Linked DNA regions of Ovis aries. The protein of the gene in region 1 interacts with the protein of each later gene in a pairwise test. Links are inferred from orthologs where the notes say so. Each region holds a gene or a part of one and is shown in the gene's direction. Other genes may lie near its edges.

What was found.
Region 2: the proteins of HSD17B14 (region 1) and CDKN2D interact in binary tests that used the Homo sapiens proteins (3 or more experiments, as listed by UniProt). The two-hybrid records come from large-scale screens. The link is inferred for Ovis aries from reciprocal best matches to the Homo sapiens genes HSD17B14 and CDKN2D.

The regions. Positions count from the first base shown.
Region 1 is NC_056067.1:55,185,702-55,192,914, reverse strand, and holds the start of HSD17B14 (17-beta-hydroxysteroid dehydrogenase 14), read left to right. Parts: upstream 1-3,506; 5' UTR 3,507-3,621; exon of another isoform or gene 3,622-3,944; 5' UTR 3,945-3,994; coding exon 3,995-4,082; intron 4,083-4,584; coding exon 4,585-4,623; intron 4,624-4,812; coding exon 4,813-4,895; intron 4,896-5,399; coding exon 5,400-5,466; intron 5,467-7,213. Other genes in the region: PLEKHA4 (pleckstrin homology domain-containing family A member 4), read left to right, coding at 132-293, 2,182-2,240, 2,640-2,752, 3,084-3,343. UniProt on the Homo sapiens protein: Catalyzes the NAD(+)-dependent oxidation of L-fucose, yielding L-fucono-1,5-lactone, which rapidly converts spontaneously to L-fucone-1,4-lactone. Can also act on D-arabinose and L-galactose, with lower catalytic efficiency. Does not use NADPH.
Region 2 is NC_056058.1:12,921,023-12,928,050, reverse strand, and holds CDKN2D (cyclin-dependent kinase 4 inhibitor D), read left to right. Parts: upstream 1-2,178; 5' UTR 2,179-2,231; intron 2,232-2,501; 5' UTR 2,502-2,516; coding exon 2,517-2,657; intron 2,658-3,620; coding exon 3,621-3,980; 3' UTR 3,981-4,570; downstream 4,571-7,028. Other genes in the region: protein KRI1 homolog, read left to right, coding at 5,037-5,130, 5,247-5,320, 5,910-6,015, 6,704-6,809. UniProt on the Homo sapiens protein: Interacts strongly with CDK4 and CDK6 and inhibits them.

The DNA.
Region 1 (7,213 bases):
GAATCGAACCAGGGTCTCCTGCATTGCAACTGAGCTTTGAGGGAAGCCCATGACAGAGGAGGCTGAGAGGTTCAGGGAAGAGAGAAAAGAGAGGCCTGGTTGGAATCTCTAGATGTTTCTCATCTCCCCAGGTCCCCCTGGCCCGGCCCCGGATGAGTGCTCGGGAGCAGTTGGAGAGAATCCGAAGAAATCAAGAATATGGACGGCCTCTCCCTCGCCCAGCCTCCCCCCGGCTCCTCACCCTGGGGAGGACGCTGTCCCCAACCAGACGCCAGCCTGATGCGGAACAAAAAGTGAGGGAAACAGGGGTGGGTCAGTGAGGCGGCAGTGGGTTCTCAGTTCCTGGTTGGAGCCTCAGTTTTCCTCTCTGTAAAATGGGGATTTTTTTCCCTTCCTCTATATCAGGTTTACTTGTCCCTGTTTTCAATTCAGCATCCTGTCTCCCTTATCAGTGGAGAACAGGATGGGCCAGAGGCAACATCTCCATCCTCACCAGCATTCTCACTCCTCTGGGAGGAGTGGGTTTTAGAGCTGGATTGGAAGCCAAGTTTTCCTGTTCAGTTACTATGCTATCAAAGGCAAAGAAAAAAAAAATGTATTTACTGCCATGGAGATCACACTGCCAATCTGAAGATCAGACTGTCTGGGCAGGATGGTTTTTTCACTTGTTTTTTCGTTTTGGGCTGTGCCACTGCGCAGCTTGTGGGATTTTAGGGCTTGGGTTCAGTCCATGTTTGAGGACTTGGCCGTGGGAGTGCGGAGCCCTACCTGCTGGACCACCAGGGAATTCCCCATGGATAGTTTCATCTTAAGACTCTTCTAGGAAGGAATTAGACAAGTGGGGTGATTTTGGGGTTGTGATTGTTTTTGTAAATGGGGGGCATCTCAAGTCTGCTGAATATCAAACATTGATCTCTATGTCTAGCTAGTTTTTCGGGGGCAACAAGTTCATTAATCATTTATGACAAAAGGAATGTGAATTTGGAGGGTCTGTTTCTGGCCTCGTCACAGGGGGCTCATCTGTGAATCTTGTCGATGAAAATTCTATTAAAATCAAGTTAACAAGAAAAAAGGGGACTTTTATTTGAGCCAAACAGAATTAGAACTTGGGAGAGAGACTCTCAGAAAGTTCTGAGAACTGTTTCACCATCTGTTAGAAGTCAAGAGGCACACTCGTGTCTGTTTTCCAGACAAAAGATCGAACATCAAAATGACATACTGACAGGACTTTCCTGGCAGACCAGTGGTTAAGAATTTGCCTTGCAATGCAGGGGACGAGGGTTTGATACCTGGTCTGGGAACTAAGATCCCACATGTCTCTGGGCAACTAAGCCTGTGCGCCACAACTACACAATCTGCTGTTGTTTAGTTGCTGAGTCATGTACGACTCTTTTGCAACCCCATGGACTATAGCCTTCCAGGCAATCTTCCTGACCCAGGGATGGAACCCACATCTCTGTTGAGCAAGTAAGTCTCCTGCGTTGGCAGGCAGATTCTTACCACTAAGCTGTCAGGGAAGCCCCATGCACTGTGACAAAAGATCCCACGTGATGCAACTAAGATCCCAAGTGCCACAACTAAGACTTGATGCAGCCAGACAATTTAAAACAAACAAAGAAGCAAATAACATAGTGATATTTTACCTAAGCTTCACCAAGGATACATAGTCTAGGGAAGCACATGCGAAGCCAGCAGCAAGTTACTGTGACCCCCTGCAGAACTGTGAAAGAAGCTGTTCTTTTAAGAAGTTACACTGGTAGTGTCAGAAGAAAGGGAAAAAAGAAATGATCTTCAGAACAGAGCAAGCACTGCCAACTCTGAGGAGCTCTGGCTAATGTGTAATCCTGGTGTACACTGCACATTAGGGATGGAGGAGCCCCAAACAAGCGCGCAGAGAGACTTTGATCTTTAATTTTCCTGTCCTGTCTTAAAATATCAATTTCACATCATTCAGGCTTATCTAAGTCATATGAAGAAGCTGTTTACCAGAATGCAAAAAGGCGTGGGGAAGTGGTTGGGAGGGTGGTAATTTTCCAAACTCTTCCCTCTTTCCCAGGAGTTCAGGTAAAGTTAAGAATTAGTGTCTTTGGGGCAATTTTATCCTCTGAGCCTCTTCACCCTCAAAATGAGAACATGGGAACTTCCAGGGTGAGGAATTCTAATGCCCCCATTCCTTTGCAGCCTGTCCTGGGACACTCAGGAACCCAGAAATGGCTCCGAAGTTCGGGGTCCTGGAGCAGGTAAGGAATTGGAGATCGAGGCAACAACGAAGGGAAATAAAAAAGAGAAGGGGAATAGTGTTACTGTTAATGTCTTTTGAGTACTAAAGTACAGATCGCAGAATCTTTTAGAGTCGCTTGAGTTCTTGGGGAATCAGAAAACTCTAGTTCGCGGGGAGAACTGCAGTTCCTTGTTCTATATCAAACTCCGCCCCGCTGTCAGGAAATCGGAGAAATTTTCGGGCAACTGAACTACAAATCCCACAATGCACGCGGGCTTCTAAAAAAAGAGGGTCGCTCCACGTTTAAAATCCTTTAGAGACACGTGCTAGGGACTACAACTCCCAGAAGGACACGCGCGGCACTGTGGCCTCTACTGTACTGGCTAATCGAAGTTTCGCCCAAACTCTCTTTTTCTAGTCCAAGAAACACCACCCCTTATTTGCTGACATCCGAAGGGCACCGGGAGCGAGTCCTCAGCCTCTCTCAAGCCCTGGCCGCTGAGGCATCGCAGTGGCGCGGAATGATGACAGGTGAGAATGAGCTGGGGACTTAGGACTCCTAGGTTTTAGGGATGAGGAGGGGGGGGGCGGGTCGGAGGTCTGGAATCTCAGGTCGTGATGGGGAGGGGTCTGAGGGCCCCTGGGAATCCTTTGTCTTGATGAGGGAAGACCTGGACAGGGCTTGGGAGTGCTAGATTCCAGGCAGGAGGGGGCTAAGGTGCAAAAGTGCTGAGTTTGGGAGAGCAGGGGGCAGGGAGGCCGGACTCCTAGGTTTGAGAGGAAAGGCCTGGGGGCGGAGGGCGGTGTCTGGACTTCTGGATTCCTGAGTTTGCCATTCTCATTTCCCATCCGTCCTCTCCAGGTGGAAATTTGGACTCTCGAGGGGACCCTCTCCCCCCTGCGCCGCCACCTCCGTCAGATCCCATGCCCCAGGCGTCCTCACCCCGAAGATCTCCAACAGCCAATTCCTGCTCCACGGGTTTCTCCCCCAGAGGTAGTGGGCGCGGCGCAGGCCCCGCCTCCTGGGAAGAGACCTGGGATTCCGGGCCGGCCCCTCCCGCCCTGACCCCTGACGAGGGGGCGTGGCCTCTGAGGGTCACCCTGCTGCAGTCCAGCTTCTGACGCGCCCAGACGTGGCAGCCAATCAGAGCGTGAGGGCGTGGCCTGGCGGGACCACCTGAAGATCTGCAGCCTCTGTTCTCCCGTGACCTAGAAGTGGTTTCTGTGGCCAAAGTTTGCTTTTCCCGACACTTGTCCAAATTTAGATTAAAACTTTGAACTTTTTAGTCAATAACTTTTTGTCTGTTTGAGGTTGTGACTCTGGTGTCTCTGAGTGGGGGTAGAGCTGGGGTCGTGGATTTCTGGGTCGCAAAGGAGGAGGGGACCGGGACCTTGGACTTGTAGGTCTGAGGGAGGAGGAAATCTCAGGGTCCGGAGTACTGGGCCTGAGGGAAGAGGGGGATGGGGACCTGGATTCTTGCGTCTGAAGGAAGACGAGGGACCTGGACATTTAGGTCCGAGGGCAGAGGGCGGCCGGATGCCAGGAATCCTGAACTTGAGGGAAGAAGGTCTGGGCATCCAGACTCTTGGATCTGAGGGAGGGACCAGGCTTCCAGGCTTCTGGCTTTCCTGGCAACGCCCCCCACCCCCACCCTCAGGGCCGGGCTTCCAGGATCCGGCCCCTGTTTACGATTTGACCCCACTACCTCACCCGATTTTGGAGGTGGACAGAAGCCCGGAGTGAGTGAAAGAGGAGAGGCGGTGTCCGGCAGAATGGCAATGGGAACGCGCTATGCTGGGAAGGTGGTCATCGTGACCGGCGGCGGTCGCGGCATAGGAGCCGCGATCGTTCGAGCTTTCGGTGAGTGGGGTCTGGCTGGGTCTAAATGTTGGGAATCTGGGAGAGGACGGGCCTCCGAGGGCTAACTAATGGGTGTGAGAAAAAGTAGGTCCTATACTGGAGTCTAGATTCTTATCTTACAAGATCCTATTTGCAAAGTGAACGAAAAGGTAGGCGGTAGTTGCCTAGGGCCTGAGATTTTGGCAGGTTTCCAAACACCGTTTCTGTGGTCTCAGCTGTCTCTGCAAAACAGGCAGTTTGGGGGACGATGTCTCTTGCAGATTTCGGGTTTACTCTGGAACCCAGGAAGGCAGACTCAGGAGCCCCAACAGGCACCTAGAATAACCCAGAAGAGTATCTGTCAAAACTTCTGCCCTCTGTCCTAGGGAGTCATCATGAGACTTTGGGGTCACGAGGGGAGCAGAGTGGGAGACGGGCCCAACCCGCTGTAAGTGGCCCCTAGAGGGCAGCAGAGGCCTTCGCCAAGGTCGGCTGGGGGTAACCTCTTCTTTCTTATTCTCAGTGGAAAGCGGTGCCCAGGTGGTTATCTGTGACAAAGATGGTGAGTGAGGGTCCCTCAGTCCTCATCCCCAACCCTCCAGGGGGATTCCAGGCCCCCAGACCCCTCCTCTGATAGACCCAGGAGTCCAAACCCCTGGCTTCCTCCTCCCTCAGACCCAGGATTCGGCCTCCCAGCCCCCTCCTCCCTCAGACTCTGAAGTCCAGACCCCCAGCCCTTCTCTTCCCGCAGAGGCCAGGGGCAGGGCGGTGGAGCGAGAGCTGCCTGGCACTGTCTTTCTGCGCTGTGACGTGACTCGGGAGGAAGATGTGAGGGTGAGTGTATTTTCTGTCTCTACTACCCGCCATGTCCAGTTGGTTCTCTCTCCCCACCGACCCCCTCCCCTGGCCGCCTCGAAGGCTTTTGCACTGGTGTTCCCTCTGCCTTTCCCGGTTCAGCTCAGTATCTCTTCAAGGCTCTCCCTAACTGTACTGACCAGGTCTTGTGTCTCCTGGGAGGATTTGCTTTTACCTCCCGCTCTTTCAAGGCTCTGTCACAGCTGTCACGGGGATTGGGACAAATACATTCCTCACAGGGGGTCTCATTCTTGCAGGATTCTTTTCTCTTTCCTCACTTTCCATTCCTTCCGTCTAGTCAGTATCTCTGACATCTGTCTCCAGTCCCGGGTCTCTAGGGTAGTGACCACAGTGTGAATGTCACCAGCCCGCTGGGCTCCAGCCCCTCAGCTGTGACTCCTGTCCCCACCTCACCTTTGGGACCCCTGGCTCTATAAGACCTGATGCCAGCACCACTCACTCAGAAGACCTCTCTCTCCCCAGACCCTCGTTTCTGAGACCATCCGCCGATTCGGCCACCTGGATTGCATAGTCAATAATGCTGGCTACCGTGAGTCATGAGGCCTGAGGGCCGTTCCCCACTGGTGTCAACCCACCTCCTGACTTCTCACCCCAAGCCTGGCTCTACCCCTGCTGTGTGCTCCCCAGCCTGTGCCCTTAGTCCTATCTGCATCCATTTCTACATTTCTAAAATGAAAATGACCATTCTCATCATCGTTATAGGGTCGTTGTGCTGAACAGTGTAACTGCTCAGCCTCATAATTATGGGAACTGTCTTGGATGAATAACTTCCATCTTGTAGCCTGTTTCTTATCTAGGAAGCAAGGCTGATGGCCCTTCTCTTTTTCCAATACTGGGAAGATGTATTCTCCACACATGGTTTCTAGGGCTTGGTGTGGAGGCTTTGAAGAGAAATTGCCATCCACTTAATGACTACCCTTTATAACAATGCCTCATATTGCTAAACTGAGACTCAGAGAGGCGAACTGATTGGACTGGAATCACACACTGTGGTAGAAAGAAGCCTTTCTTCTTGGCTGGGCAACGATGAGCAATTGACTTCCTCTTTCTGGGCTGCACTGTCCTCTTGTAAGGATTTAAAGATATACTCCTCCTTTCTCTCCGTGTGCTTGATCCATTTGGCAGATATTTCTTGAGCATCTACTGCACTCCACCTTCTGTCCTAGGGACTGGAGATTTAGCAGTGAGCAAAATCCACCAAGCTTTCCTGTCTTCATAGCTCAGTTGGTAAAGAATCTTGCCTGCAATGCAAGAGACCTGGGTTTGATCCCTGTGTTGGGAAGATTCCCCTGGAGAAGGGAAAGGGTACCCACTCCAGTATTCTGGCCTGGAGAATTCCATGGACTCTATAGTCCATGGGGTCACAAAGAGTCGGACGCCACTGAGCGACTTTCACTTCCTGTCCTCATGGGATTCACATTGTAAAGTAAGGAAATAGACAATAAGAGGCAGATATAGTTAATACTCATTTATTCACAGATTTTGTATTTGTGAACTCACCTACTTGGTGGGGGTGTGGGTTGTAACCTCAGAATCCCACTGCGCTTTCTGGGTATTTGTGGACAAGTTCAGAGCGGCAAAAGTTTGAGTCACCAGCAGCACATGTTCCCAGCTAAGGTCAAACAAAGTGATGCTCTGCCCTCTGAGTTCAGCTTTCAAAGAGATGCCGGGAGGTGGAGACAGAAGAGGGCAGTGTCTTGTAGGCCTCCCTGGGGCTAGTTGGACAGGATTGAAGCCTAACTCTGGTACCTGGAGTGGGGCAGCCTCAGGCAAGTCAGCTACACTCCGGAATCTCCATTGCTTTATTTGCAAAATAAATGAGTCCACCAGTGCGCATTATTTTGAGGATTTAAGATTATAATCTATGTTAGAGAAACATATAGTTGTAAACATATACATATGTGCATATATGGTCTTCCCCTGTGGCTCAGCTGTAATGCTGTGCAGGAGACGCGAGAGACTCAGGATCAATCTTGGGTCCGGAGGATGCCCTGGAGGAAGGCATGGCAACCCACTCCAGTGTTCTTGCCTGGAGAATCCCATGGGCAGAGGAGCTGGTGGGCTACAGTCCATGGGATCCCAAAGAGTTGGACACGACTGATGCGACTGAGCAGGAGCACGCTATTCATTATACACATAACACATATATGTCCTGTCTTAGTCTGCTCATGCCGCTATAATAGAAATACCATGGACTCAGTGACTTAAACAATGAACATTTATTTCTGGAGGCTGGGAAGTCCAAGATCAAGTCAGAGGCAGATTTGGTGTCTTGT
Region 2 (7,028 bases), on another chromosome or scaffold:
TAAGCAACTGAACACACAGCAGCCCCGTCTGTTGCCTGGAGACAGGCATGTTGCTGTGGTTACAGTCGCCATGTTTGAGCCCATCCTTAGCCCTGTTACAAACTTGTGGGGTTGATCATGAGCACTGGGGAAGGGGATGGGTTGTGGGTGGGGGTGCTGTCCTGTCTCCTTCCCCCAATTCTGAGATGGTCCCTGCTCATTGTTTCCCTACAGATTATCAACTTCGTACCAGCTAGAAGGGAGAAGTGGGGGCCTGAACCTGGGCTGTCTTCTCCCCAGGCCCCACTGCAGCCTCCACTAAAGAAGGAGGGAAGACGGGGTGTGTGTGTGTGAGGGCAGCTCTTGAATTACTGGTTTGTTACTCCCAGCACCTGACTTGCTCCTACCCATTTCCTTTACTGGTAGGCTGGGAGTGATAATCTCCAGCTCTCAGACTCTCACCCCTCCCCCTCCCCCAGTTTTATATGAAGAAATAGAAGAGGGGCTTGAAGTCCCCCTCATGAGTGCCTTTTTGCAGTGACCTGCCTTAGGAGGCGTGGGGAGTCCCTCCTCCACAGCTGCTGAGCCCAGAGGCCCCACTGGTCCATTTCTGAGTTTTAGGATGGCATTAAAAAGATGAATCTAGCTGCTGTTATGTACTTTTTGGCTGGGGGCTGGGGATGTCAGAGGTGCCCCTGGGGTGCTGGGAAAAGAGTGGGCAACATATCCATTTCTCAGCCCTGGTCATCTCTCAGCTGGGCCCTCGCAATTGCTCCCACCTTGGGCTCCCAGGCTCTGGGCTTCCCTCTCCCATGACAGCCAGTTCCCATCATAGCCACCAGAGGGCGCCTATTAACTCCTAAACTAGACCGTGGCTCCTCAATACAGAAGCTTCCCAGGGTTCCACCCATTGATTTCTGTCGTTTTGAGCAGCTTGAGGGACCGTAGTTCCCCGACCAGGGATTGAACCTGGACCCCCTGCAGCAGATGCGCGGAGTCTTAACCACTGGACCGCCAGGGAAATTCCCCATTCTTTTTAAAAAGTAAAAGTGCTCACCACAGCCCACACACCTGTTCACCCCTCACCTCCTCCCCCTTCTCTCCCTCTCTATACCTCGCTCTTCCTGGACTTACTAGACATGGTTACAGCTCAGGGCCTTGGAATCTGTAGCGCCTCCACCTGGTATGTTTTTCCTGAGAGACACACGGCTCCTTCCCTCACCTTCAGGTCTCAAATCAAATGTCACCTTCTTAGGGTGGCCATGCCCGACCTCTCTATTTCAAAGCCTTCTTTTCCCAAGACACCATTATTTATCTCATTTTGTCAGCTCCACAGTGTATAGCACTCTGAAAATATTTATTGTCGTCTCCAGCTCTAAAAGGTAAGTATCCAACAGTCAGGAGGCACCTGGCTTGCTTTCTACTGGGGTGCATAGTACACAGTAGCAGGTCGGTAAATGTGTGAAGGCCCCGCTATTGAAGGCCTCTGTTAAGAGCCTGCGACGCGACTCTCGCCTCCCAGTCTCACCCACGTGGCAGCTGGTGAATGAACTTTCTTCCACACCCTTGCATTTGCTGTGCCAGGGCTGGCGCAATCTGAGCCAAACGTGATTCCTTTTTCACTCACCCCATTTCCATGCTTTATTTTCCTCACGGTGCTTAACACTAAAATTACTCAGTAGCTCGAATGCAGGACCCCCAGCGCCAGGAACGGCTCCAGCACACAGTGAGTGAATGAAATAAAGCACTTTGCACAGTAAGAACTAACGAATATTATCGCACCGCATAACTCCAAACTGGGCGGTCCCAGCCCTGCCTCCTTTTCCCTCGGAAGTGCCGAGGTCCCGGAGCAGCCCGCGCTACCCTGCGCCTGACCTTTCTCCCCTGGGTCAGTTAAACGGGCCCTCTTTCCCGCCCGCCCGTCGCTTTTGAAAAACCGAAAACCCCGCCATTGTTCGCGGTTCACCGGTCGCCGCAGTTCGTCCAATCAGAAGCGGGCCCGCCCACGCCGGCGCCCAAAGCCTCCCTGGCAACGCGTGGCCATTGGCTGCGCTGGCAAGGAGGGCGGAGCACTACAGGGTCGGGAGCCGGGCATCGCAGCTGGGCTACAACGTAGCAAGTTCATAAGAAAACAAATCCGCGGAGTTTGGGGGCGGGGCCGCGAGAGCTCTGGCTCCGCCCCCTAGCGGCCTGCTCCGCAGCGGCGGAGACGCTGGCTCAGAACAGACCCCGCCCGAAGAGGAGGAGGGAGGGTGAGTTGGGGGGAGACCCGGCCCCCAAGGGGCGGGCGCCGGGCAGGGCCCAGCGGGCTAGCGGAGGGTTGGGCCTGGGCTCTCAGCCCCTCTCTACCCACCGGCTGACAGGGGGAGGAGCCGGCCGGGAGGGCGGGGGTCGCGCCCGAGACCCGGACAGGAGAGTCCGACCTCTTTGCAGGCCGGCGACGCTGCGGGAGGGCTGTTCGGGCTAGCGCCGGTGGGCTCCCCCTCACTGACCGCCGCGGGGTGGGGCGGGGGGCTTCGCAGGCCGCCAGTATCGACATGCTGCTGGAAGAGGTCCACGCCGGCGACCGGCTGAGCGGGGCGGCGGCCCGAGGAGACGTGCAGGAGGTGCGCCGCCTTCTGCACCGCGAGCTGGTGCACCCAGACGTTCTGAACCGCTTTGGCAAGACGGCGCTGCAGGTGAGCCCGGGCAGGCCCGCAGACCCCTTCCCTCTTCTCTCCTTGTTCCCGTTGGTAGCCGACTGAGGTCTGTTCCTGCGTCTCTGGGCTGACTTGGCTCCCTAATGTCCCCTTTCTTAGGTGGGTGGTGGATGGGGTTAGGTTGGGGGGAGGGGAGAGCTTTCCATCTTTGGAGGATTCCTTGTTCTCTGATTGCGAAGGATTCAGTTTCCCTGGAGAAGTTCTTATTCCCTGGGTGAGGGTTCACCTTCTTTGGATCCGAGTTTCATGAGGGCAGCTCCAATGTCTTGGAGCATCTATGGACGATCCGACCGCAGGAAGGAAGGATTCCTGTTTCCAAGGTGTACCCATTTTCAGGGGGTTCTCTGCGAGGTATCCAGTTTCCTGTGGGGGAGAATCTCTATTCCCGCGGGGTTTTCTTACTGGCATATTTGGGGAGGGGGATACCAATAAGGGAGTAGTCACAGATTACATGGGAGTCCGTGTTCCCTTGGGGACATTTACAAAAGGGGAACCCCATTTCATCAGAAAGGATCCCTACTATATGGGAGGGGGAAATTCCTTGGAGGAGTTTTAAATTCCCTGGCCATCTCCATTTCCTGGAGGGGACTGTTCTCTGAGGTCTGTTTCCTGGTGGGGTTCATAGTTCCTGATGATTTCCCATCTGTGGGGAGAAGTGTCTCTGGTTCCTTGGGGGAGGGTCTTAGTTTCCTTCAAAATTTCCACGGGGGTATACCCTAGCGGGGGGCGGGGGGTGACCAGTTTTTTGAAGTTCCTTATTCCCGGGAGATCTTGTTCTCTGGGGTCTCAACAGCTGCCTGAAAGTTTTTGTTCCCCGGAGTTTTTCCTTCTCTTGAGAACCTTGTATCTGGCATTGTCAACCCCTCTCTCCAGTCACCCGTTTCCCCAGACCTCCTCCTTTGGAGACTCCCTGACCCTTCTCTACCCCCATCCCCCCACCAGGTCATGATGTTCGGCAGTCCCACCATTGCCCTGGAACTCCTGAAGCAAGGCGCCAGCCCCAACGTCCAGGACGCCTCGGGCACCACTCCGGCCCACGATGCAGCCCGCACTGGATTCCTTGACACCCTAAAAGTGCTGGTGGAGCACGGTGCCGATGTCAACGCACCCGATGGCACCGGGGCGCTCCCCATCCACCTGGCAGTGAGAGAGGGCCACACCCCTGTGGTCAGCTTCCTGGCTGCCGAGTCTGATCTCCATCACAGGGACGCCAGGGGGCTCACACCCCTAGAGCTGGCACGGGGGAGAGGGGCCCAAGAGCTCATGGACATACTGCAGCGGCACACAGTGGCACCCCTGTGACCTGGGGCCACCCACTCCAGCAGCAGGACCCAGCTGAGTTCTGTGTCAGAAGAGGGAAGAAACACTTTCTCCTTTTGCTCCTCCTGCCCGCGGCCGAGGGGCACCGGTTTGTGGCTTGTTGGTGTTGATTTCTGGGGTGTGTGTGTTTGACGTGCATTTCTCGTTTTTTTTTCTCACCCCTTTCGGTGTGTTGGGCAGAGAAGGGCTCCTAGAGGCAACAGCCACCTGAACGGTTCAGTTTCCTCCACGCCTACAGACTGAGTCCCAAGGGCAGAGCGTTTAAAACCCCAGCCCTCGAGAGTGAGGGAGTGAGGTCATCTCTTCCAAGGCTCTTGGAACCTGTCGACCTTGGCCGGCTTACGGAGAGAGACCTCAAGTGTGCACACTGCTTTCCGGCATGGGGGAGGGGGGAGTGTTCCAAATCGATAAAAGGGTAGTATGAGTTCATTAATATTTTGTTGAAAGCTTCATTTCCAGTCCCTTTGTACAGCGTTTAAAAAAAAGTCTATTTATTAAGCTTTATAGAAAATATTGTTGTGTGTGTAATTTAATGTTTTTACCCATTAAATTAAGACTTGTGCATGACCACAGCTCTAGTGGCTTGTCATTTTTGATACGCGATGGAGAGTCGCGTATCCTGGATGTTTGTGGGGATGGGCCCTGGGGGTCGAGGATCGTGGATGCTTTGGAGGAGGGGAGAGAGTGGTAATTCCCAGGGCGCCAGGGGTGAGTGAGTTGGGTGGGGCAGCGGTTTACGCTGTCGGAACGGAAGGGAGGCAGGAAACCGCGAGTGGAGAAAGGGCCCCCAGATGTCAGCTGGGTGCCGGGAGCCCCGAGGGTGGGGGAGTGGGATGGGCGGTGGCTGCAGCCTTCCCCGCAGAGGCGTGGCTCGTGGGCGGGGACTGCGGTCCCAGGGCCAGGGATCCCGGAAGGGCCCGGGGCAAGGTTCTGGGCGGCCCAGGAGGCTCCGCCCCTATTTAAAGTAAACTGTGCGTAGCCCCGCCTCCAGGGAGGCGGTGCTTCCCTGACGCGTGCGCAGTGGGTCGGAGAGCAGCCATGCCGGAGCCGCGCGGGTCGTCGCCCCTGCGGGTGAACGCGGCGTTTGCGGCGAGGTACGGCCGCTACCGTGAGCGAGAGGAGCTGCAGCGGCGTGAGTGCGGGGCGCATGCGCGTGGGGAGCCGGCGCCTGTTGGGGAGTCTGCAGGTGGGCCTTGATCTGGTCCCCCAGGCTCACCTGGGTGGGGGGCTCGCATCTTTGTCCCACAGTGAAAGATCGCTACGGAGACCGGCGCAGCGGCAGCGACTCCAGCTCCGAATCTGATTCCAGCGACGAGCACGTGGTGAGCTTCTCCGCCTCCGTTCCGGAGTTGCGGGAGGTGTCCAGGGGCGTGTCTCATCCTGGCCCGGACTTACAAGGGGCAACTAACCTCCAACCCCATTGCGCCTTCAATCCCTGACAGTCTAACCATTTCTCCCTGTCTGCCTCTGTTCCCAAAATGGGGCATCCCTCTGCCACGTGGAGCACCCAGCTTTTCCCCACACCAGCTCTGATCTTCCCAGACTCACTGAGCCATCCATCCCTTCCTTTGTTTTTCATATGCCTTCGCTGCCACCTGCCCCTGTATCATCCATCCCGTATTGATTCCAGGAAGTACCACCACCCCCTTGCCTGCTACCTTTTTTTGCTTCCTATTCTCTACTCGTGTGTGGTCCACCCCCACGGGGTCCCCTTGACCCTCCCTCCCACTGAGATCCAGCCCTCCAGCCCTCCCCCAACCTTCCTCTACCCAGCTGGATTCTCCCATCTTCTAACCTGTACCCCTCCCTACACCCTAATTCCCACACTCTCAGCCCTTCTGCCCCTGTGGCTTACTGCCCCCATCACAGCCCGCTTCTGAAATCTGTCCCCACCCCCTTTTTCTGCTTTAGGAATTTGACCCTCAGCAAGAGCGTGACTTTTACAGGACTCTCTCCTTGTTGAAGAAGAAGGACCCCCGCATTTATCAGAAAGATGCCACCTTCTATCAGCAAACAGGTCTGGGGCTGCTTCTCATGGGATCCTGGGTCCTCACTGCCTTAGAAGCTGTTGTGGCTATTTAATGAATCTTTCCATGGTGGCTCAGACAGTCAAGAGTCTGCCTGCAATACCTGGGTTCAATCCTTGGGTCAGGAAGATCCCCTGGAGAAGGGAATGGCTACCGACTCAAGTATTATTGCCTGGGAAATCCCATGGACAGAGGAGTCTGGCAAGCTACAGTCCGTAGGGTGCAAAGAGTAGGACACAACTGAGCAACTAACACTTTCACTTTTTTTTTCACCTACAAGTCAGAACTGATTAGCAGAGGGACTTCCTTGGTCGTCCAGAGGTTAAGACTGCACTTCCATCCCTGGTGGGGCAACTAAGATCCCACAGGCCACGCAGCACAGCCAAAAGAAAAAAAAACTGATTACTAATCAGCTAAGAGTGTCCAGGGTTATGACCTGTTGTTACTAATAATGGCTGTGTGTCTGGCACTGTTCTGAGTGTGAATTACTCACCGAGTGATCACCACCAGCTATTACCAGGTAGTAGCAAGTGTGATGCCTATTTGATAGCTGGGAACTGGTGGCTAGGGGATTTGAAACCTCCGTCTGACTCTGGCCCAGCACAGTTATTCTCTGCCTGGGGGAGCAAGGGGGTTGTGGGTGTGGGTGATGACAGGTGTCTTGTGGTGGCCCTGCAGTATCATCCTCAGACAGCGAAGAGGAGCTGGCAGCTGAGAAGCGAAAGAAGGTGCAACCCATGTACCTGAAGGACTACGAGAGGAAGGTTATCCTGGAGAAAGGAGGGTGAGGAGACAGCCTAACTCCTCTGCTTCCACCTTCCCAGGGCAGGTGGACACATGGGGGACTTGGGGTGGGGGTGGGAAGAAGCCCACACCCAGCAGAGTTGGGGGAACCTCAGAGAGCAGAAAGCTTGGTGACCTGCCTGCATCCCACTGCCCCCATCCCCCAGCTGGTGCTCTGTTTTTGAATTTTTGTCTCTTTTAATAATTTTTATTTATTTAT